Elephas maximus indicus: one gene and its partners. The protein of the gene in region 3 interacts with the protein of the main gene of each other region in a pairwise test. Links are inferred from orthologs where the notes say so. Each region holds a gene or a part of one and is shown on either strand. Other genes may lie near its edges.

Region 1 (7,761 bases), on a different chromosome or scaffold from region 3:
TACCTAGTTTGGTCTGGTAGGAAGAGGGTCAGACTTAGAGGCTGAAGGCCCGGGTTCCAGGCTCAAACTCCCAGTCTAGCTCTGTGGCTTTACGTGGAGCACCGGTTTCTTGAGCTGAAAAGTGAGAAGAATAATAGCCACTTTATAAGCTCGCTGCAAGGACCCAGTGAGATACCTATTAAAGTAGGGCCCTGTGCTGGGTTTAATGCTCTGCTGTATCCATCTTGAAATTCTTAATTTTTAAATGAGGAGGCCTCTTGTGTTTTCATTTTACATGGGCCCTGCCAACTATGCAGCCAATCCTGCCTGTATGCCTTTGTCCCAGTCACATAAACTCTCTGGGCTCCGCCATCTATATTTCATTTAACTGAATTGTTAGAAAATAAACTGTTAGGACGAATTTTCAATCCTTCTTCTACTTCACTTATTAGCGAAATTTGACAGAGTTGATTACTCCATCTGCCTATATTCATTTGACTTCTGGGACAGGACACTTTCCTGGTTTTCCTCTGCCTTACTGGCTGCTCCTTCGCTGTTTTCTCGTATCTCCACAATCTATTAACACATCCAGAGCTAACTCCTGGTCTTCTCTTCCAAAGCTGCTCTGCTGTTCTTCATCTGTTAATAGTAAGTAACTCCATCCTTCCAGTTTCTCAGACCAAAACCTGTGTCATTGTCTTTGATTTCTCTCATCTCCCCATATTCAATTTGTCAGCTAATCCAAAATCTGACCCCTTCCTCACCACTTTCATCACTGTCCAAGCTTTAATCGTCTTCCTTCTGGATTACTGCAATACCCTTCTAACTGGACCTCCTGCTTCCACCTCCTCACCTGTCTTCAGTGGTCTCCACACAGTTGCCAGAATAATCCTTTTAAAATATAAGTCAGATTACATCACTCCTCTGTACAAAACCATCCCATGACTACGCATCCCATTCAGAGGAGAAATCCGTACCAGTGTCAACAAGCTACCTGTTAACCTCACCTCTTACCACTCTCTCCTCTCAGAAACTTTGCTGGTGCCTTAGGCCTGGAATGCACTCCCCTCCCCCAGTTATCCGTATGGCTAGTCCCTCACTTCCATCAGTTCCACTCAACCATCCTATTTAAAACAGCAGCCACCATCAACCTTCCCGTTCTCACCCCAACCCATCATTCCCTGCTTAATTTTCTCCAAAGCGCTTACCACCAACTGATTAAAAAAAAAAAAAAAAAAAAAACACCATCTGACATATTGCATATTTCGTTCATTTGTTTATTGTTTACCTCTTACCATTAGAATATACACTTCAAAAGGGCAAGGACTTTTGTCTTTTAACAGCTATGTCTCCAGGACACTGGGCATTGAGTAGATATGCCAGTAGAAAGAACTGTGGAGCAGATGATAGAAATATTATTATTAAGTCATGGCAGCATCAGCCCCTCAGAGTTTCCAAAGTATTTTCATAGGTCGGTGTCCCAAGAAGCCAGCTCTGCATACAGGTAGTGAGGGCACTGATGGGAACTACTGTGTGCCCAGCCTTCCACTAGATCATGCTGTAGAGATAGAAAGATGAACCAGAAGTAGGTTTCATGTATATGTGCAAATAACCCTAGAACAAGGCAGCGTTTGTTAAAATATCCACCCTTTAATGCCTTAATACTTCACATTCTGGTGATAACTCTAGAGTCTAGTAGGTTATGGCTTGTAAACTTACTTCTTGGCTATTTCTGTCCCAGGCAATTTCCCGCTCTGGCCTGCTTATCACACCGGAGACACCTTGCCTGACTTCCAATCTAGTCAGTCCCTCTACTGGCCTCCTCCGCCCAACACTGCCCTTTATTTACTGTTAACTGGAGACCCCACCCTCTTATAATTCCTCCATACTCTGCTTCTAGATACAGGGAACATGGGGGCAGTGGTGGAATCGATTTAGGAAGTTTGTAGCAGAGTGTAAAGAATCAAAGTATTGTTGCCTTACAATGAAGCTTTGTATATCTCTGTCCTCTATGAGCCTACGGGGCAAAGAGCTGAGGGGCTGCATCTACCCATCTCTGTAGCCTGGCAGCCTTGCTCAGGATGTGGCACTGAGTGGGTGCTCAGTAAGATGTGCTGAATTGGTGAACTGGATGTTGTGAGCTCTGAGCCAGGATAATCCTACTTAAGAAGTACCTATATATTCTCTGTAAGGTGCCCCAGAGGGATTCTAAAGGGTTATTTTATTGAGTTATCATAATGTAACAAACAACTGTACTAGTAAGAATGAAAACATCTCAAAGAGACCAACTTTTGAAACAACAATTTAAATTAAAAAGCACTATTTTATACTTTTCAAGGGTACTTTAATCAGTATTTGATGTCTTTACTGAACTCCATACCTGAATATCCAAAATTATCGAGAGACAAATTATAAAGGAAGCCTTCCATTCCCTACAGGACTAGTTTGAATAGGGGCTCCCCAAGGTTATCTGGATTTTAGATAGAAATTTACTTAAGTGAAAGACTAGGGGACTGAGAAACTTAAAGCTAAAGCATTAGGACCTGGTTATTAAAAACCAAGTAAAATGTAAGCAGTGAGTACTTGGGCGTTTGTTGTGTGATTGTCAACACTTTTCAGTGTGTTTGAAGAACTTGCTTATCATACGTTCCCACCACACATACATTTTCATAGCCAGGCAAGTTCAATTAAAAAAGATGACCCATCTCATAATTAGTAAGAGGTGCTACCACCAATAAGTATGAAAATATTGGGCCAGTCAGCCCTCCTCCTCCTTGGTTCCCATTTTCTCCATATGTAAAATAGAGGCAGGAACTAGATGGTTTGGGGCCCTTCCAGTTCTAATGTCTTATAAAAGCAGAGGAAACCTAGTCACATTATAAAGTCCTTGTCTTTATAAAAGGAGCCCTGGTGGGACAATTGTTAAAGCGCTCGGCTGCTAACTGAAAGGTCGCTGGTCGCAACCCACCAGCCTCTCTGCAGGAGAAATATGTGGCAGTTTCTTTCCGTAAAGATTTACAACCTTGGAAACCTTACGGTGCAGTTCTACTCTGTCCTGTAGGGTCACTATCAGTTGGAATTGACTCAGTGGCAGTGGGTTTGGTTTTTTGGTTTTTCTCTTTATAAAGGATTGCCTTCAGATTTTATGAGTTTCTTTATTCCATTTAAAATATGATTTGGTTTACCAAAATCTGGCTTCCAAACAACTTTTCGGAACAGATGTTATATAAAGAACACTCACTCTACTGTCATTATTAATACAAGCAACTAACATTTCTTAAACAAGTACAATATGCCAGGCACTATATTCAGTGGAAACCCTGGTGGTGTGGTGGTTAACAGCAACAGCTGCTGACCAAAAGGCTGGCAGTTCAAATCCACCAGGCACTCCTTGGAAACTCTATGGGGCAGTTCTACTCTGTCCTATAGGGTCACCGTGAGTTGGAATCTATTCAGCGACAGTGGGTTTGGTTTGGCTTTTTTTTTTTTTTTTAATGTATTCAGTGGACCCTTGGTGGCACAGTGGTTGGCAGTTTGAATCCACCAGCTGCTTCTTGGAAACCCCGTGGGGCAGTTCTACTCTGTCTCATAAGGTCACTATGAGTCGGAATCAACTGGACAGCAATGAGTTTGGGTTTTTTGTATATATTCAATATCCCAGGCACATATAAAATGCCTTATATGGACGATCTGAATTAATCATTCCAACAACCCCAAGAAGTAGAAGCCAATATTGTTCCTGAGTCTATCTAACATGCCCAAGGCCACAGACTCGGGGAATAGAAATGCTGGAATTCATGCTGTCTTCAGTTCAGCCTCTGTGTTAGCCCTGCATCTCCCAGGCTGGCTGCCCGCATCAGGAAGGGCTCAGGTTCCTTCCTTAGTAGAACCATGGCCCTCTCTGCCTCTTTGCCTTTACAAACAGGGCGACCCATCAAAAGATGGCATAGTTCCTTTGATTTCAATTTAACTTCATAACATGGCAATGTTTTCATTGAGAAATGATTTTGACCTTCCCCTTGACGAGTAACAGTGGATGTCTCTAGTTATCTTAGATTTCTTCTGAATGATTGGGTGAGCAGAAAAGGGTTTAAATTTGCTTTGAATTCCTAGTTTGGTTCTTCTCTTTATGTTTTATTTATTTAAATCTAACAGGATACATGGCAAGACAACATTATTTTGCAAGAGACTCAGGAGAAAAAAAAGCCACGTGCAGAGAAACAGTAGCTGAGAATTTCACATCTGTATCGCACACTTCAAAATTTGCTCATCCATTATTTTCACTTCCATGAGAACTGTATGAAGTAGGCAAGACAGGAATTATTTACCCACTTTTTAAAGGAGGAAACAGAGTCACAGAGCTGGTGAGAGCCTGCACCCAGTGCTCTTTCCACACCAGCCACCCCCCTATGTAAACAAGGACATCAGATCCCCACACTTTGTGGCAGGTAGAACCAAATGACTGCAGTCCTGAGGTCTGTGGCACACCAGGCTGTGGCCAGAGTACCTGCCTGTGTGAAGAGCACCCTATTAGAGGAGGAGGACCTAGCACCAGCCATTTTCCCCCTTCTCACACCTGCACAGGGTGATAAAGCAGAATTAGCCTGCAGCTGTGGTCCAACCAGATAAAACATTTAGGCGGGAAGTCAAGTGACAAGTGAACTTGTGTGTGCGTGTGTTTAAGTGTTAGTTACTTTTGATATTTTAAAAAAGCTCCTAAGCTGCTTGTGGAAGTCAGACTAAATAGCAGGAAGGTACTGCGGCAAGATGGATTTAGGAACAGACCAATCTCATGTGAAACTCCATGGGACACCTGCTCCTCATCAACAAGAGAACCATGCTCCAGGTAATGAAAGAGACCTTCAGAGGCAGTGGCTGTTGGGAGGAATTGGGGTTGTGATTACTTGCCTATGCTTTATGGATCTGGCAAAAAAAAAAAAAAAAAAAGGCATCACTGAGTAGGTTCATATAAGTTTAGGTGGGAAAAACTGAGACTGTGTAACTTCCTGAGGAGCCTTCTAGCACTAAGATTCTAATAAGACAGAAAACACAAGGTAGTATAATAAATAAATTATTAGTAAGAAAATTATTAAAACAAAAGATAGGGAAAATATACAATACTGTATGGATGTGGTAAAACAAATATACCCGTATGCTCCTACGGCAGCATAAATTTGGTGTAACTTTTAGAAAAAGCTGTGGCACTGAGTAGCCAGAACTGTAATTGTGTTTATTCTCTTGACTCACGAATCCTGCTCCTTGGGTCTGTCCTAAAGCAGCATTTCTCAAAATGTTTTGCAGAATCCTAGGCCTTGAGATACACTAAGAGAGGGTTCTTAAACTTTTTTTTGTGCCATGCTGATGAAGCCTACAGACCCCCTCTTAGAATAAAAAAATTTAAACATAGGACATTAAATACATAGGATTGGAAAGGAAATCGAGTTATCAAAACATGATTATCAAAATAAAAAAAAAGGAAGCTTGAAATACAGTAATATATGTGTTTGTAGGTGCGTTAAACAACAAGATCCAGTGCTGGGTCTAATAGCTAGCATAATGATATTTATGCTGTGTATAAATGATATTGATGTAAATAAATGATATTTTGAGGTACCTGCAGCAATGGTAATGTGACATGAAAATCAAGTCTGTCATTTCTTTGCGTGACAAAGCCACAGCTACTGCTAAAACTACCACGGTTTGTGGCCTACATTCATAATTGACGGAAATAGTCATTTTAATTAGAGGTTGGTAAAAATAGAGGTGTAATTTTTTCCCATCCAAGTTCACCGTTAAGAACCCCTGTCCTAAGAATAGAAGCCCCCACATGATGCAAATGGTTCAGGTGCCCAGCTGTTCACCGAAAGGTTGGAGGTTTGGGTCCACTCAGAGGAGCCTCAGAAGAAAGGCCTGGCAATCTACTTCTGAAAAATCAGCCATTGAAAACCCTATGGAGCACAGTTCTCCTTGGACACACGTGGGGTCACTGTAAGCCCGCGTCGGCGCAGCGGCCGCTGGTGGACACACGTGGGGTCACTGCGAGCCCGCGTCGGCGCAGCGGCAGCTGGCGGACACACGTGGGGTCACTGTGAGCCCGCGTCAGCGCAGCGGCCCCTGGCGGACACACGTGGGGTCACCGTGAGCCCGCGTCGGCGCAGCGGCAGCTGGTGGTGGTGTCCTAAGAACAAGGCACCGTGGTCGTGCAGCATACTTTGTCCCTTCTGGGAGCCACAGTGCAGGCTCGCATAGTAAAGGCTCAGGAAACTCTCTATCAAAGACCTAATAACTCTCCTCAAACTTGCATGGCAACAGAAGCTTTTTTGATAATAACTTTAATATTTCAAAGAACCTGGAAAAACATAATCCTAAAGAAATAATCCTAAAGAAAGAAAATGCTATCAGCATGAATATGCTTATTATACTTTGGTCTGCAATAGCAAAAAAGAACTGTCAACAACCTGAATGCCCACTACAAGTCAAACGGTTAGGTAAATAACAATACATCAGCTTGATTAAGTATCATGTAATCATTAAAATTATAATTATGAAGACTGTACTGTGGAAAATATTTGATACAATGTTAGGCTAAAGAGATACAAAATTGTAATATGCTATATTACAACTTGTTTAATATTGTGTAATACAGGGATTGGATGGAAATGAATAAAATGACAGCAGGCTACCATGCTAAGGATGGCAGAGCATGAGTGATTTTTTTCTTCTATTTATACAATATGTAAAAATCATTTTGAAGAAGGGAATAGGTTGATAACACACTCATGTATAAATACTATCTGAAAAGTGGTCCTCAAAAAGCTAGAGGAGAAAAATCTTAGACACCCAGCATAGAGATTTTATCACCTTTCCATAGGACTCTTTGACTGATAAATGCCATAATTCATCACTTTTTCCTATAACTTTCATTTTGGTTCTACAGAAGTCATTGGAACTTGGAGTTTGCGAAACCGGGAGCAACTCAGAAAAAGAAAAGTTGCAGCAGAAGAAAAACAAACTTCCCAGTGGCTATTTGGGTACGGTATCAGCGCAAGGGAAGGAACTAGTATTTATCGAGTATATGTTACATGTCAAGTAGTGCTCAGCACTTTCACAGACTATATTTTATATTTCCAACAATCCTGTGAGTCAGGCATTATAATCTCTATTTTAAGGCTCAAGACGGTGCAGTTGTTAAGTGCTCGGCTGCTAACCAAAGGGTCAGTGGTTAGAACCCACCAGGTGCTCCGTGGGAGAAAGATGTGGCAGTCTTTTTCCATAAAGGTTTACAGCCTTGGAAGCCCTATGGGGCGGTTCTACTCTGTCCTGTAGGGTCGATATGAGTCGGAACCAACTCAACGACAACAGGTTTGGTTTTTTGGAATCTCTGTTTTACTAAAAAGGAAAAGTAAGTCTCTGATGAGTTAAATCTCATGCCTGAGTTCACATAGCTAGTAAAATGGTGGGAACAGAATTTTATCCCTGGTCTCTTTTAATTAGAGCATCAAGCAATCCAGTTATATTGTTGAGAGGCCTGGGGTTCAGCTACTGTGATCACAGAAACATGTAAGCATCGTGTTGTTGGGAGTGGGGAACATCACTGAGGAAGCCTCTGAGAGTGTTCTCTAAGCTTCCTATTAGTCAAATCTTTATTGTACAGGTGTGATTAACTCTCCATGGAGTGAGTGAGTGACAGAAGAGTCTGGGGAGTCTTGAACCTCCAGTCAAAGTCACCTCTATGTAATCTCGGTGACAGAGTACAGAACGTGATCGTAAGTGAGGCAGCAT
Region 2 (6,974 bases), on a different chromosome or scaffold from region 3:
CATATGAGCAATTGGTGATCTGTTCTGCATTTGGCCCCTAGCCTTCTTCTGACTGATATTGGACTTTCCATTGTCTCTCTCCACAGATACGGTCAATTTGATTTCTGAGTATTCCATTCAGTGAGGTCCACATGTATTGTCACCATTTTTGTTGTTGAATAAAGGTATTTGCAATGAATAATTCATTCTTGTAAAAGTGTATCATGAGATCTCTGTCACCGAGGCCAGTTCTCCAACTACCAGTACTTCTTTGTTTTCAACTTTTTCAGTTACAATCACTAGTAATTATCAGTGCATCTTTATTACGTGTTTGATCAATTTCAGACAGCAGAAGATAGAAAACCAATCATAATTCTTCAGAAACTCAATGCAAAAAGGCTGAGTTCAGCTCCAGAGGCTATTTACCTGGAGTGACAATGTCAGGACCCCAGAAAAATGGAACAGCACAAAGATACCCCTGTGGCACAGAGGTCTGATTTGGTGATGTCCCAGGAGATTACAAAAGGTGATGCCTCCGAGCCTGTTCGGGTGCTGTTTTATGTCTAAGCGTAGTAAACACTTACTCTGTTGAAGAAAGGAGATTTATTGGTGGTTCATTAACAGTCTGGCCTGGATAAAACGTCTGATTTTACAGAGTGAACAAATACTTCCAAAACAGTGAAGCTGCAGAGAACTTTTAAAGGATGAGAACAAAGAACTTGAGGTGCACTATTTTGATTGGACATTACAAACTTAGATTAACGCAAGGTGGGTTTACTGAAAGTGGGGGCTGTGGAGGTTTACAGGTCCTTTTTCTACTAGAAACACCTGGCTTAAGTGAAATTTTTCTTGTCAGTAGTTGCCTAGGAGACCCAGAAGAGAGTCAGCATCAAGGTCTTCTTCCTGAGACATTGTTTCAGGAAGGGTCTTGATAAACCCATTGCTGTCGAGTAGATTCCAACTCATAGTGACCCTATAAGGCAGAGTAGAACTGCTCCATACGGTTTCCAAGGAATGCCTGGTAGATTCAAACTGCTGGCCTTCTGGTTAGCAGCTGTAGCTCTTAACCACTACACCACCAGGGTTTCCTAACCACAGAGAAAAGGGGGAAAAGAAAAAGGTTTCTTTAGTTTACATTTAGTTATAGGCCTTAAAGAATAAGTTAGGGGTTTGCATATCTTAAAGGCAAGATGGAGTAGGACCCTGAACGCTAAAGCAGCCATTTTACTTTAGTCAAGTGCCTCAGTTTACTTTTTCTTACTCAATAAAACCCACTGCCGTCGAGTCGATTCCGACTCATAGTGACCCTATAGGACAGAGTAGAACTGCCCGATAGAGTTTCCAAGGAGCACCTGGTGGATTCGAACTACCGACCTCTTGGTTAGCAGCCATAGCAGTTAACCACTACGCCACCAGGGTTTCCTCTTACTCAATAAAAACCTTAAAGGTTTCTGTGGTTACTTTTTTTTTTTGTCTTTCAAATTTAGTCTTAGAAAAGCTATATCCAGCTCTACTGGTTTCTTTCAATAACTTTTCTGTGGCACGCTGGTAGTATGTCTCCATTGTTGGCGGCAAGGGAGCGTGGTCAAGGAATAGTGTCTCGGTGGTTGTGCTGATTTTTTTCCCCCATCAGTGGCATATGAAAGTAATAGTTTGAACTTTGTACATTATTTTAAGTTATTGACCTTATTGAACCCTTTAAAACATTTTGATACATAGCTTTCAATACCATAAAATTACCAACTGTTTGTATGATATTATTGTGATAAAATATATATAACAAAATTTGCTATTTTAATCATTATTAAATATATGTCAGTGACATAAATTTTATTCACCATGTTGTGCAGCCATCACCACTATCCATAAAATGTTTTGCCTCACTCCAAACAGAAACTCAGTACCGCTTAAGCAATAATGCCCCAATCCTCCCTCACTCATACTTCTGGTAATCATTGATAAACTTTTGTCTCTGCTTTTGCCTATTCTAGATATTTCACAGAAGTATGTATAAATCTAGACTTGTTAGCTAATTTACATCTTTGGGCACCAATTGCCACAGGGTAATTTTAGACTATTTCCATCACTTCATTAAGATCCATCATGCCTATTTTCAGCCATTCCCCATTTCCACCCCCAGCACCAGACAACCACTCATCTATTACTTTGTCTCTAGGTTTGCTCAGGGTCCCAGGACTTAATAGATACAGGGTTATAAAAATGAAGAATTAAAAAAAAAACGTGCTGTATTTAAGAAGAAAAGGAGGATTGAGTTTTATATATAGGTGGTGGTGTTTGGACTCTGCATTATAAAGAATTTTAAGGCAATATTCAGAACAAAGATGTTGTAGGCTTTAAACGAGTTTGCGTCAGATACTGCATTTGAGGGTCCTCAGGCTGCTGATTAGTATACTCGTTTAAGTATAAGGTTCATGTAAAACGTTAATTCATACAAATATTGGATTCTTCCTGGGTGCTAGGCATTGAAGTGTCTGGAAGGACATAATTCTTACACTCTTGAGAATATAAGCCTGGTTGATTGGAGAAGAGGTGTGTATAGAGATTAGTCAGACCATGCGTTAAGATATGGACAGATCATCTTGCAGGAAATGTTCCAAAAAGAAGCAACATCAGGAATTTGTTTAGGCAATCCGAGTTGTCATAAAAATTTATTTAATAGATGTAAAATTTTGGAAATGAGAAGGAAAGCATCTTTCCTGCATCTCATCACCATTAGTGAACTTTTACTTTGATACTACATTCTCTTCTGTTCTGTTACCATATAGCTCCACGTGACAGTGTCCTCAAAGCATTATTTCTCTGTATTGTTTTGATGTTTCTGTAGTTTGTAACCACACTTTAATTAATTTTAACTTGTATATGTAACCAGTTTCTTTTTTCTTTATTGTGGCAAAATAAAACAGCTGTCATTTCAGTCCTGTTCACATGTACAATTCATGACATAGATAACCAGCTTACTTTTTCTTGATTTTAGTATTTCTGTATTGAAAACAATGAAGGTATAATATTATTGGAAATGGTTGCCTTGTTAAAAGTAGTTATATCAGATTTTGTTTCTAATGCTGTGCTTCTTTTATGCATAAACCTAAACTTCTGTTAAAAAGTATGTCTATGGTTTTTTTTTTTAATAAGTCACAGCTTGAGGCTTTGTTATAACCAGTTCAGCCTAGATTTCGTAGCCGTATATGGAAGGCGCATTTTTAGAGTAACAGGGAAAAGGATAGCTTATTGTTAAAGTGTGTGTTTCTTTGGTGACTATGGAAGTTGCCGTATTCCGATATATCGACAATTAGTTGTTTGCACCCTTTTGACGTAGGAAGTCTGAAGCAGGTATGTAGTAATAAACCTGGCTCTTGGTAAATAAAGATTAGCTAACATCATTTTGATGGAGCTGTAGGGAGTGAGGGAACATTTCAATTGAGAACATTTAAGTGAGTTATTAGGTGGTATGGCCAAAAAACAAAACAAAACAAAACAACCAACCAACCAACCGTGAATGTTTGAACTAACTTAGGGGTAGTTGGGATGGAGAAACTTGATTATCAAGATGTTGATGTAGAGGTGACTCGGTATTAATTTTAGACCAGAGAAAAAAATGAATCAGTAGCTTAAATAAGGATGGAAAGAGAAAATAGTAAATTTTGGGAGTGGATAATGAAGCTGATTTTTGGCACATTTCTAGGCAAAATAAAATTAAATGAGTTTTGTCAAATGTGATAGTTAATATGAGGGAATAGTGAATTTTTTCTTGGTGGTTGTGGGAACATGGGAGTAGGAATATTTTTGAATATGTCTTTTGTGGTTTTCATGCAAAATTATCTGCCTGTTGTAAACATGGTAGATGGTGGTGCAGCTTGAACATGCTCTCCTCCGCAGGCTCCGTCTGCTGTTTGAAGCTTCTTCCCAGCTGGCATTGTTTATAGGAGAACCACGTCATACCTTTATCTGTAGCCTTCCCCTAGGTCTTAAGGTTCCAGAAACTTTACTGTGAGGACATTGGATTTGGTGGAACAGCAATCATGGTAAGATGAAGATTAGGAGAGAGGGGTGGTAAACTGCTCTAAGGGTTTGCCAGAGTGTGGGTTGATTTTGGGTTCTGAATGTTAAAAATCAGAAGTTTGTAGAAATGGATTCTCACTGAATTAGGGTAGTGGCTGAAGATAAGTAATGTGTGATGTTCATGTTGTAGTAGTGAAAAGGATTGCAAACCATTTTGCTGTGAGAAAATACAGAAGAGTTTTTGGTTGTGATTATAATTGTAAGAGACCATTTGAAGGTAGACTGTTAGGTCAGATTACAGTATATGTAACATCTACTTTGAAAATGGAGAAATTTGGGGCTCAGTTAGTATAGATGAAAGCAGTCTGGAGAAAGATACAGTATCCTAACCTTATTAGTACCTGTTGGTGTAGAGTTGATTCCGACTCACAGCAACCCTATAAGGACAGAGTACAACTGCCCTCATAGAGTTTCCAAGGAGTGGCTGGTGGATTTGAACTGCCAACCTTGTGTTTAGCAGCCAAGCTCTTAACCACTACTCTACCCTATTAATAGTAAAAACAGAAGCAAAAAACAAAACTTGGAGAGGAGAGAAAAGAGATAGGGTCAAGTGTCTGTGAGAGGGTGAAGTTTGGCCATGATTTGGGAAAGGAATGGGATTAGAATGATGGAGCTATAGAGGGGAACTGGATTCAAATGTAGACTATTGTCTTGAGTAGGTGTGAAGGAAATTGGGGAAAGGTGGAGGGATTTGGTCAGCGAAAGAAGTCAGTTTCAGGTTGGTATAGGAGTGGGAAAGAAACCCAAGTGGCATAGAAAAATAGGCTGTGAACAAGCTGATTATTGACTCTCATTTTACTCCTTGCAGACCGTGGGCAAGAGCAGTAAGATGCTGCAGCACATTGACTATAGAATGAGATGTATCCTGCAAGATGGCCGAATCTTCATTGGCACCTTTAAGGCCTTTGACAAGCATATGAACTTAATCCTTTGTGATTGTGATGAGTTCAGGAAGATCAAGTAAGAAAGACCTGTTTGGGTAAAGAATATGCAGGTAGAGGCAGTGGGAAGCCAAGGCTAGAGCAGGAGTAAGGGATTATAGAGGGTAGTTGAAGGAGGTAGGGAAAAAGTTTCTAACCCTTCGGTGTCATCTTCAAATAGCTGTAGAGGCTCCCAGTCTCAAAGTTTTTATCGCCATAGAACTATTTCTAATTTGCAAAAAGACTTTCCAAGGAGCGCCTGGCGGATTCGAACTGCTGACCTTTTGGTTAGCAGCTGTAGCACTTAACCACTACACCACCAGGGTTTCCTGGGTTTTAAAATAATGAGGAAAAGTGATGTTTGACTCCTTGTGCTTGTTGAGGACAGTTCTTCTCAGTTAAATTTGAATGAACAGAATTCATGACATTTTCATTGTCGTCCCCCTTTCATTTATTTCCAGTCTCCTTCCTGTACCAAGGCCGATCATTCCAGAAGTGCTAGGATGGTGGATGCCTCAGTTTTATTTTTACTTTTTTTGTTTAAACCACCTTTATACTAAAAAGCATTAAAAAACCCTTATGATATTGATAAATAACAAAGAAGGTATTTGAGAGCTTCGGGCATATTCTCAGTTTCTGTTTTTCATTCCTTTCTGACCAAGTCGTGGGAGTAATTATACCTAGTTAATGCTTCAGCTTGCATTATTCTCTGGTAATACCTAATGGGATTTATTAAATGGCATTGTAATTGTAATGGTTCCTTTTACCTACACAAAAAAAAAAAACAATGCGGTTTAAACCCCATACATGTATGCAGTAGACATTAATCTGATTTTTCCTGCTTACATTTGAAGAAACTAGGATAGGAATTTAATTTTCCAAAGTTACACAGTAAATGGTAAGCTCAGGAATACACAGGTGTCTCTGATTCCAAGTACTTCCTTACCATTTTGTATGCCCTCTTTTGCCTATTACTGTCTTATTCATTATTTCAGTTCCATGATATGTCAATAAGATTTACCTAGTTAAAAAAATGATTTAGAAATTATTGCCCATCTTAAAATTATATAGAGTTAGGTTTCAGTTTTGACTGTTTTAAAAGGCTTACTGTGTCATTGCATTTATTTTACAATGAAGAAATTAGTTTTGCTGAAGTGTAATATCTAGAGAACATTCTTTAAAGGGCTGAAGCTTAATAGAAGAGCTTCAGCACTCACCTTGCTGTACCTAGTATTTGCATATCAGCTGAGTCTAGGTGTTAATTTTATCACAGCTCAGTGACTGTCTTATGTTTAAATAAGATTCTTGGCATCAGTTATTGTCTTAATTTTTACTTTGTGATACACATGTAAGTTATGTAAAATAATTTGAGCTAGAGATACTAACTTACTTCACGAAAATTTGCTTCTGATTTGTAGGCCAAAGAATGCAAAGCAGCCAGAGCGTGAAGAAAAGCGGGTTTTGGGTCTGGTGTTGCTGCGTGGGGAGAACTTGGTTTCCATGACTGTGGAGGGGCCACCCCCCAAAGATGTAAGATGTAGGGTAGGATGGAACTTTCATGTGGAAGAGCATTGCTTTATTGGAGATGAGAGAGGCACAGTACAGCACATCTTCGTCAATTAAAACGTGCTTAGCACTTGATGTCAGTTCTTTGTATTTAGAGATTAGGGTTTTATGATAAATTATTCTTCGCACCGTGTAGTACCTAGATAAGCATAGCAGTTGCTTATTTACTTTCTCATTTTATGGTCATAAACATACATGTTTTGACAAATATAATGTACGTTCTAGGCATCTGCAAGATGTCTCCAAGGTGCACTTGCCCATTTTTTCCTTTGAGTAAAGAACCAAAATGAGATAGGTGGAATGGGAACAGGGTGAAGTTAATCAGTGTACGAGTGAGAGATTACGACAATTGAGAATTTGGTTTCAAGTTGTAAACTTTTGTTTCAGACTGGCATTGCTCGGGTTCCACTTGCTGGAGCTGCAGGAGGC
Region 3 (7,824 bases):
GTATACCTTCTAGCTCATTAATACTGGAATGCAGCTGTTGTCGTTGGGTGCGTCAAGCCATTTTTGATCCATAGCAACCCCATAGGATAGAGTAGAACTGCCCCATATGGTTTTCTGGGCTGTAATCTTTATAGAAGCAGATTCCCAGGTCTTTCTCCTGAGGTGCTGCTGGTGGGGTTTTAACCGTTAACCTTTCAGTTAGCAGTTGAGCACTTAACCATTGTGCCAACAGGGCTCCTTCAACACTGGAATATCGGTTAAAAAAAAGTTACCTTCTTCCCGTTCATTTAAGTTGTTCTGGTGGCACAGTTGTTAAGTGCCCAGCTGCTGACCGAAAGGTTGGCGTTTCAAAGCCACCAGCTGCTCCACGGGAGAAAGATGTAGCAGTCTGCTTCCATAGAGATTCTCACCGCCCACCCCCCACCCCCAAAAAGTCCACCAAACCTGTTGCCATCAAGTCGATCCCAACTCAGTGACCCTATAGGACAGAGTAGAACTGCCCCATAAGGTTTCCAAGGAGCGGCTAGTGGATTCAAACTGCTGACCTTTTGGTTAGCAGCACAGCGCTTAACCACTGCACCACCAGGGCTCCCCATAAAGACTATAGCCTTGGAAACCCTATGGGCCAGTTCTACTCTTTCCTATAGGGTCTGTATGAGTTGGAATTGACTGGACAGCAGTGGGTTTTGGTCTTGGTACCAGTTCATTTAGTAAAGATATCTTTGTGTGCCCACTATGTGTCCATTCCTGTGGCAGCGGTGAGCAGCCTGCAGAGCCTCATGGCACAGCACTGTCCGGCAGGAAGACAGTGCAGCAGACCGAGGGGCGGGGGCCGGGTGGCAGGACTAGAGGGCAGGTGGCTGGTGTGCAAGGTGGCCAGGTCACACAGGGTCTCAGTGGTGGTGACCTTTTCCCAGGTGAATGTAATTGGTTTGTATTTAGGGAGTGTTGGAGAGTGCTTAAGCTGGGCGGTGAGAGGCGGCAGTGGGGGATGGAGAGCAGCGGACGTGGGTGGAAGATGTGACCAGGTGGCCTGGGAGTTGAGTGGGCTTGGGGTGAGGGAGGGAAAGGTGTCGGAAAGCATCTCCAGGTGAGGCCACTGCAGAGGGTGTGCACAGAGAAGAGGGCCTGGCATTGAGGAGCCGGTGGTGGGAGGCGTGAGAGGAAAACCCACACAGGGCGAGTCCCAGAAACTTGGAGTTTCTTGAAGTTTGCAAAGGCTGCCAAGAAGCCATGCATGATAAGAACGTGATCTCCAAAGTAGGTGCCTAAAAGAACATATTCAAACTTATATGTGTGTGTATATATATTCAATATATATATAATACTATTTTTATACATAATATATACAGTTATATACATATATATATATATAGGAAAGCCTGGTGGTGCAGTGGTTAAGTGCTACAGCTGCTAACCAAAAGGTTGGCAGTTCAAATCCACCAGGTGCTCCTTGGAAACTCTATGTGGCAGTTCTACTCTGTCCTATAGGGTCGCTATGAGTCAGAATCCACTCGATGGCAATGAGTTTGATATATATATATGTATGTATACATACATATATAAACCTGTTGCTGTGAGTCAGACAGAGTGGAACTGCACCATAGGATTTCCAAGGCTGTAAATTTTTATGGAAGCAGACTGTCACATCTTTCTCCTGTGGCGCAGCTGGTGGGTTTGAACTGCCGACCTTTCATTTAGCAGCTGAGTAGTGCTTTAACCAATGCACTACCAGGTTTCTTCTCTCTCTCTCTATATATATATATCCAAACATGTATATGAGGAGCCCTGGTGGCGCACTGGTTAAAGCTAACTGAAAGGTCCACAGTTTGACACCGCCAGCAGCTCCATGGCAGAAAGATGTGGCAGTCTGCTTCCGTAGAGATTTACAGCCTTGGAAACCCTATGGGATCACTATGATTCTGAATTGACTTGATGGCAGTGGGATTTTGGTTTAAAACATGGACGTATGTGTAAAATGGTAGTGTCGTATCAGACCTCCTTGCCTAACTTTAGGAGGCGAAGAGAGAGTGACAATCAGCGTTAGCCCGAAGCTGACTCCCATGAGGTGCAGGTCAGACACACCTCCACTCTCCAGCCGTTTAGCCAGTTCTAACACCAGCCATCCCTCCCACGACACTCTCTACTTCTCTGCTGGGTTGGATAGTTCCTTGCAACGGCCACACAGAACTCACAGACCATACTCAAGATTACAGGGTTTATTATGTAAGTAACAGGTTACAATTCAGGATCTGGAACAAGTTGGAAGTAACAGGAGCTCAGGATACATTTCTTCCACTAGGACAGCTTCTCAGCCATGCCCGTAGGCAGGCCTCTGCCCTGCTCGGGCAAGTGTTACAACCCTTTAGCTCCACAAATAAGTGCCCAAAGGCACCCCACTCTGACAGCAAGTCTACCCGGAGGTGCTCAGCTCTCTCACTTCACGGCTTGGCAAGCCCAGTATAGCTGCCTTGCTCTGTGGGCCAAGAAGCCCACTGCACCACCTCACACCAGCCTCCTGGTTCTCTTGCTGTGGTGTCTCTGCTGCTGGACTCTGCTAAGCTTGCCACTGCTTCTCACCATCTCACGTCATCTCCAGTGTAAAAGCTCTCTTGAGTTACAGCTCTCCAATGCTATAGCTCTGTCTCCTTGGTCTAGCAGGTTCTCAGTGCAGGGCCCCTGGGTCTAAAGGGCGCACTTTGCTCCTGCCTCTTTTTGATGGTAGTGAGGTCCCCTCTCAACCTTGGATTGTTTTTTTTTAAGCCTAGTGGGATGACAAAACTGACCAATCCCCTACAAGGTTTCCATGCACCTTATTTGCATCAGCAGATTGTTCAATCCCCGTAGTTTACACACCTTATTTACATAGTTCCACCCAATCATTTTATGGATGTTATAAGAAAGACCATGGCTAGAAAGGTCATATAAAAGCAACTGACTGCACCTCAATATGTACATATATTAATGTTGGGTGTTGTCAATCCCAACTCGTAGAGACCCCACGTGACACAGTAGAACTGCCCCATAGGGTTTCCTAGGCTGTAATCTTTACGGGGGCAGATCGCCAGGTCTTTCTTCCGCAGATCCACTGGGTCAGTTTGAATCACCAACCTTTCAGTTAGTGGCTGAGCGCTTAACCATTGCATCACCAGGGCTCCTATGTATATACATGTCTATTTATGCAAGTGCATGTAACATTTAAATATACACGTAAAATTTAATTTAGATACAGAAAATAAGCGTTACGGATGCTTCCATACAGACTGACATTAACGTCAGCTGCTAGGATGGGGGTTAGATGTGGGGCTTGATTGTGTTTGGATGTAGATGGGAGTGTCCAGGAGAGGTGGATGTTTATGGGGGCCATATGCTGAGCACTCTGGGGCTTAGCGGTCACAAGACAGGGGAATGGCTACCGGCCATGATCTCCAGGCACCTCCAGGTAGGCATGGGCTATTTTGGTAGCAGGTTGTTTGTCTCAAAGTCCTGGCTAAAGCTTTGCATTTCCTTGTCACAAGCTCCCTGTCCCTTGCTGGCTGGATGAATTACACATTCCTGTCCATCTCAGGACAGGGCCAGAGCCTGGGCTGGTGATGGGAGGAATCCCGTTCCAAGTGAACAGGTGGCTCCCCTCAGGTACCACTGGGACCTTCCTGGCAGTGGAAATGTCTCCAGGCTGCTCCTTTGACCTGTGTTCCTGGCTAAGACCTGGATCCAGCCAGGTGCTGAAAGTGCAGCAGCTGAAAAGGCACACAGGTACAGGTGTATCCAAGACCGTGGGAAAATGGACCTTTTTTTAGAGAGAAGGAACTCCAGAAAGAACTTGGACACCTAGAATTGGTTTGTTTTGATTTCAGAGAACAATGATTCCTGTCTTCACAGCCTATTAGCCCCGGCGCAACAGAAAGCATTCCGGCTCGGCTCGAGGGACCAGGGTCTCCCGGGCTGGCTGCTGCCCTTCCTCATCAACAGGCTCACCTGCCCTTGGGGCTGGTGGACTCCCACCCTAGAGGGGCCCCCACAAGCCTCAGGGGCCCAGCTCGCCTCTGCAGTCCACCCCTGTGGAGCGCAGGCCGCTCCCCGGGGTTTGGGGTCCGCTGGCGGGCCAGTTCTCTGGCACGGACCCCGCTTCAGACACACCTGGCCTCATCTCCCCGGGGTCCCGCCTAGGCCCGGGGAACCCCTGCTCCGGTCCCTGGGTCCAGGTCATCGGGGCAGCAGGCGGCTCCCGCAGCCGGCTAGGGAAGCTCGTCCCGGGGGGTTCCCAACAGCGCCAGAAACTCGCTGGGGCGTCTGCTGTGGCTTCTCCGCGGAGCGAGGCCGCGTCCAGCGCCTTCCGGGGCCTGCAGGCCTGCGCATGGCCGCCGTCTGCGCCCTGGCAGCGCCTCCGTGCAGGGGCACGGTAACCATTCGGCCGTCGCGTCCGCGGAGCTGCCACCCGCGGCCGCGAGCCGGGTCCTACACCCGGCCGGCCCCGACGGCGCGGCGCAGGTGCCACGGGACAGGTGCGCCGGCAGGTGCGCCCGGCTCCGCCCTGCGCCGCCCGCGCCCCTCGGTGGCGCCCGGAGCTGTGGGGTGCAGGGCCGGAGCTGGCGCGGGTTCGGCCGCGGCACCGCCCAGGCCTGGGGCGGGGCCGGGCGGGCGCGCCCTGCAGCCGCCCGCGTCCGCCCGCGTCCGTCCGGCGCGGCGCTCTTTCCTGGAAACAAGAGATTAATCCGGCCGCTAAGCCCCGCCCGCCGCCCGCGCGCCGCCGCCGCCGCGCCTGTCCCCGCCCGTTCGGAGCGCGGCTGTCGGCGCGGCGCAGCGGCTCGGCACGGCGGCGCCCAGGTACAGGCGAGCGGGCGGAACAGCGGACGGCGCCGAGGCCGCCCCACGCGCCGGGCCAGCGGCGGAGCGCGCCGGACTCGTCGGGGCCCGCGGCCGCCCGCGCCTTTCAATGGGCAGCTCGCACTTGCTCAACAAGGGCCTGCCTCTCGGTAAGGCCGGGCCGCGCGCGCGCATTTCCGGCCGCGGCCGGCGGGCGGGCGGGCGGGCGAGGGGGCGGGGAACCGGCCGGCGGTGGGCGGTGGGCGCGGGGGCGGGCCGAGCGCGCGCCCGTGGGGGGCGCCGGCTTTGTGTGCAGTGCGCGTGCGCGCCGAGGGGGCGGGGCCGCGGGCGGGGCCGGGCGCGTGCGCGAGCGGGTTGCGTGTGAGTGCGCGTGCGCCATCGCCACGCCTGCCCCGCCCGCCCGCGCAGGTGACACAAAGGGGTCTGCGGGCCGGGCGGCAGCCCCCGGCCGGAGGGAACAGCTGGGCCCGGCCGGGGCTGGGACCCGCAGTCCTGCGCCCGTAGCCCCAACAGATGCCCCGATCCCAGGCCCGTGACTGCGTCCCCGGGGCCGCCGCATCCCCCTTTTCTAGGCGTATGTTTTTGCGGCCTGGCCCTACTGAATCCCCGGGTTCCGGGTCTGTGAACTTGTGGCCCGGCCCCATCAGTTCCCCGGATCCTGAGTCCACGACGCTGCAGCTCTGGCCCCATCAGAACCCCGGATTCTGGGCCAGTGATCCTGCAGCCTCAGACTCCTGAATCCCGGGTCCGTGATCTTGAGGTTTTGGTCCTATCAGAACCCCAGATTCTGGACCCTTGATCCTACAGCCCCAGTCCTGCTGAATTCTCGGGATCCTGAGACCGTGGTCCTGAGGCCTGGCCCCATCGGATCCCTGGGTCCCCATTCGATATTCAGATCCTAAGTCTGTAATATCTGGTCTCAGTCCCAGCAGACACCGCAATTCTAGGTCTGTGACCGTGCATTCCATGTTCCTCCTCTGGACGCCTGCTTTTCAGGCCCTTGATCCTGCGGCTTGGCCCTACTGGATCCATGGCTTCTGGGCTTACGATCCTGTAACCCTGGTCCCCATAAATGCCAGGCTGGTGATCCCGCATCCCTGTCCCTCCAAGTCCCCAGACCTCAGGCTGGTGATTCTGTGGCCCCTGTCCCTCCTCCAAATCCCCAGATTCTATGCTGGTGATCCTGTATCCCTCATCCCTCCCCCAAGTCCCTAGATCCCAGGCTGGTAATCCTGTGGCCCCTGTTCCTCTTCCAAGTCTCCAGATCCCAGGCTGGTGATCCTGTGGCCCCTGTCCCTCCTCCAAGTCCCCAGATTCTATGCTGGTGATCCTGTATCCCCCATCCCTCCCCCAAGTCCCCAGATCCCAGGCTGGTAATCCTGTGGCCTCTGTTCCTCTTCCAAGTCCCCAGATCCCAGGCTGGTGATCCTGTGGCCTCCAACCCTCCTCCACGTCCCCAGATCCCAGGCTGGTGATCCTGTGGCCTCCAACCCTCCTCCAAGTCCCCAGATCCCAGGCTGGTGATCCTTTGGCCCCGTCCCTCCTCCAAGTCCCCAGATCCCAGGCTGGTGATCCTGTGGCCCCGTCCCTCCTCCAAGTTCCCAGATCCCAGGCTGGTGATCCTTTGGCCCCGTCCCTCCTCCAAGTCCCCGGAGCCCAGGCTGGTGATCCTGTATCCCCCGTCCCTCCTCCAAGTCCCCAGGTCCCAGGCTGGTGATCCTGTGGCCCCCGTCCCTCCTCCAAGTCCCCAGATCCCAGGCTGGTGATCCTGTGGCCTCCAACCCTCCTCCAAGTCCCCAGATCCCAGGCTGGTGATCCTGTGGCCTCCAACCCTCCTCCAAGGCCCCAGATCCCAGGCTGGTGATCCTTTGGCCTCTGTCCCCTCCAAGTCCCCAGGGCCCCAGGTTCAAGGCCTGTGATCCTGTGGCCCCAGCAGACCCCCCAACAGCTGCCCCCAGCTCCACTTCGTCTTGCCGGAGCCAGTCTAGCCTCACGTGGCCCGTCGTTTGACTCCCTTACTTCATTTGTGATCTTCCCTTCACACATATTCCCTCCGAGGAAAGCTCTGGAAGCGAGTGTTTACTATGATACAGTAGGATACAAAGACCAAGTCTCAGTAGGGTGTAAGGATGGGATTCGCTGCAAACAACTTGCTTTGAAAGAAGAAAAAACCTTGTATTTCCTAAGAACAGTTATACATTTTGGCCAAGCGGAGGAGTCGGAAAGAAACTGTCGTGAACTTTTTACCCCTCCTCTGTGAGTCTAGCCTCGTTTCCTGTGTTGGTGGCCACGGGGCAGCCAGGGTGGGGGGACTGATTTCTCCAAGCTTCGCTTGTTGATTTGGGGCTTTTGTGGCATTACAGACTAGAAAGAAAGTAGTAACCCTCAAGCTAAAGGGTTTTCTCTGAAGAAAAACAGCCATCTCAAAATGGAGCGTATGTGGAGGGTGCTGGGGCGGGCTTCGGTGACTCCAGCGATTTTAGAGGCATTTTGTTTGGTGGCAGGCCTGCTAGTGCCGTGTGAATTTTTAAACTAAATTTCCTAAATACGTAAAATGAAAACGTGACCGACCAGCTAGTGGGGAGGGCAGCCTCTCTGTTCGTGGCTTTCAGTTGGTCACTTCAGCTCATGAGCTGTGCAGCCCGGGGGTCGTGCAGCCAGGGCATCTTTGGGTCTGTGTGAGCGGGGAGGGAGAGCTGGAATCCCACAGTCCCCGCACATGATTTGAGGAAACTCCACGCGATGCGCTGGGCTGGCCTGTTTCCACCTTAATAATTCAGGAGGTCGGGACCTGCTTCTGTTTGCCACCAGGGCGCCGTTTTTCCTCTCGTTTTGAAAGGTGGCAGAAGCAAAGCCCCTTATGGCGTTCTCTCGACCCTGTGGCAACACAGGGTGTCTGAGCCTTACAGACCGCACTGCTCTCCACGGCTACTCTGTAACCTTCCTTGGCTGGATGGCCCTGCTCCTGGGGCTGCAGAGGGCGGGAGGGAGGGAGGA

What was found. The genes of interacting proteins can lie anywhere in the genome.
Region 1: the proteins of CTBP1 (region 3) and HEMGN interact in a two-hybrid assay, tested with the Homo sapiens proteins (2 studies listed by BioGRID and IntAct). The link is inferred for Elephas maximus indicus from reciprocal best matches to the Homo sapiens genes CTBP1 and HEMGN.
Region 2: the proteins of CTBP1 (region 3) and SNRPN interact in a two-hybrid assay, tested with the Homo sapiens proteins (2 studies listed by BioGRID and IntAct). The link is inferred for Elephas maximus indicus from reciprocal best matches to the Homo sapiens genes CTBP1 and SNRPN.

Annotation. Positions count from the first base shown.
Region 1 is NC_064827.1:47,863,038-47,870,798, reverse strand, and holds the start of HEMGN (hemogen), read left to right. Parts: upstream 1-4,717; 5' UTR 4,718-4,746; coding exon 4,747-4,825; intron 4,826-6,916; coding exon 6,917-7,010; intron 7,011-7,761. UniProt on the Homo sapiens protein: Regulates the proliferation and differentiation of hematopoietic cells. Overexpression block the TPA-induced megakaryocytic differentiation in the K562 cell model. May also prevent cell apoptosis through the activation of the nuclear factor-kappa B (NF-kB).
Region 2 is NC_064831.1:99,699,196-99,706,169, forward strand, and holds the start of SNRPN (small nuclear ribonucleoprotein-associated protein N), read left to right. Parts: upstream 1-3,930; 5' UTR 3,931-4,019; coding exon 4,020-4,022; intron 4,023-4,867; coding exon 4,868-5,019; intron 5,020-6,397; coding exon 6,398-6,509; intron 6,510-6,932; coding exon 6,933-6,974.
Region 3 is NC_064823.1:159,373,149-159,380,972, reverse strand, and holds the start of CTBP1 (C-terminal-binding protein 1), read left to right. Parts: upstream 1-4,761; 5' UTR 4,762-4,936; coding exon 4,937-4,976; intron 4,977-7,824. UniProt on the Homo sapiens protein: Corepressor targeting diverse transcription regulators such as GLIS2 or BCL6. Has dehydrogenase activity. Involved in controlling the equilibrium between tubular and stacked structures in the Golgi complex.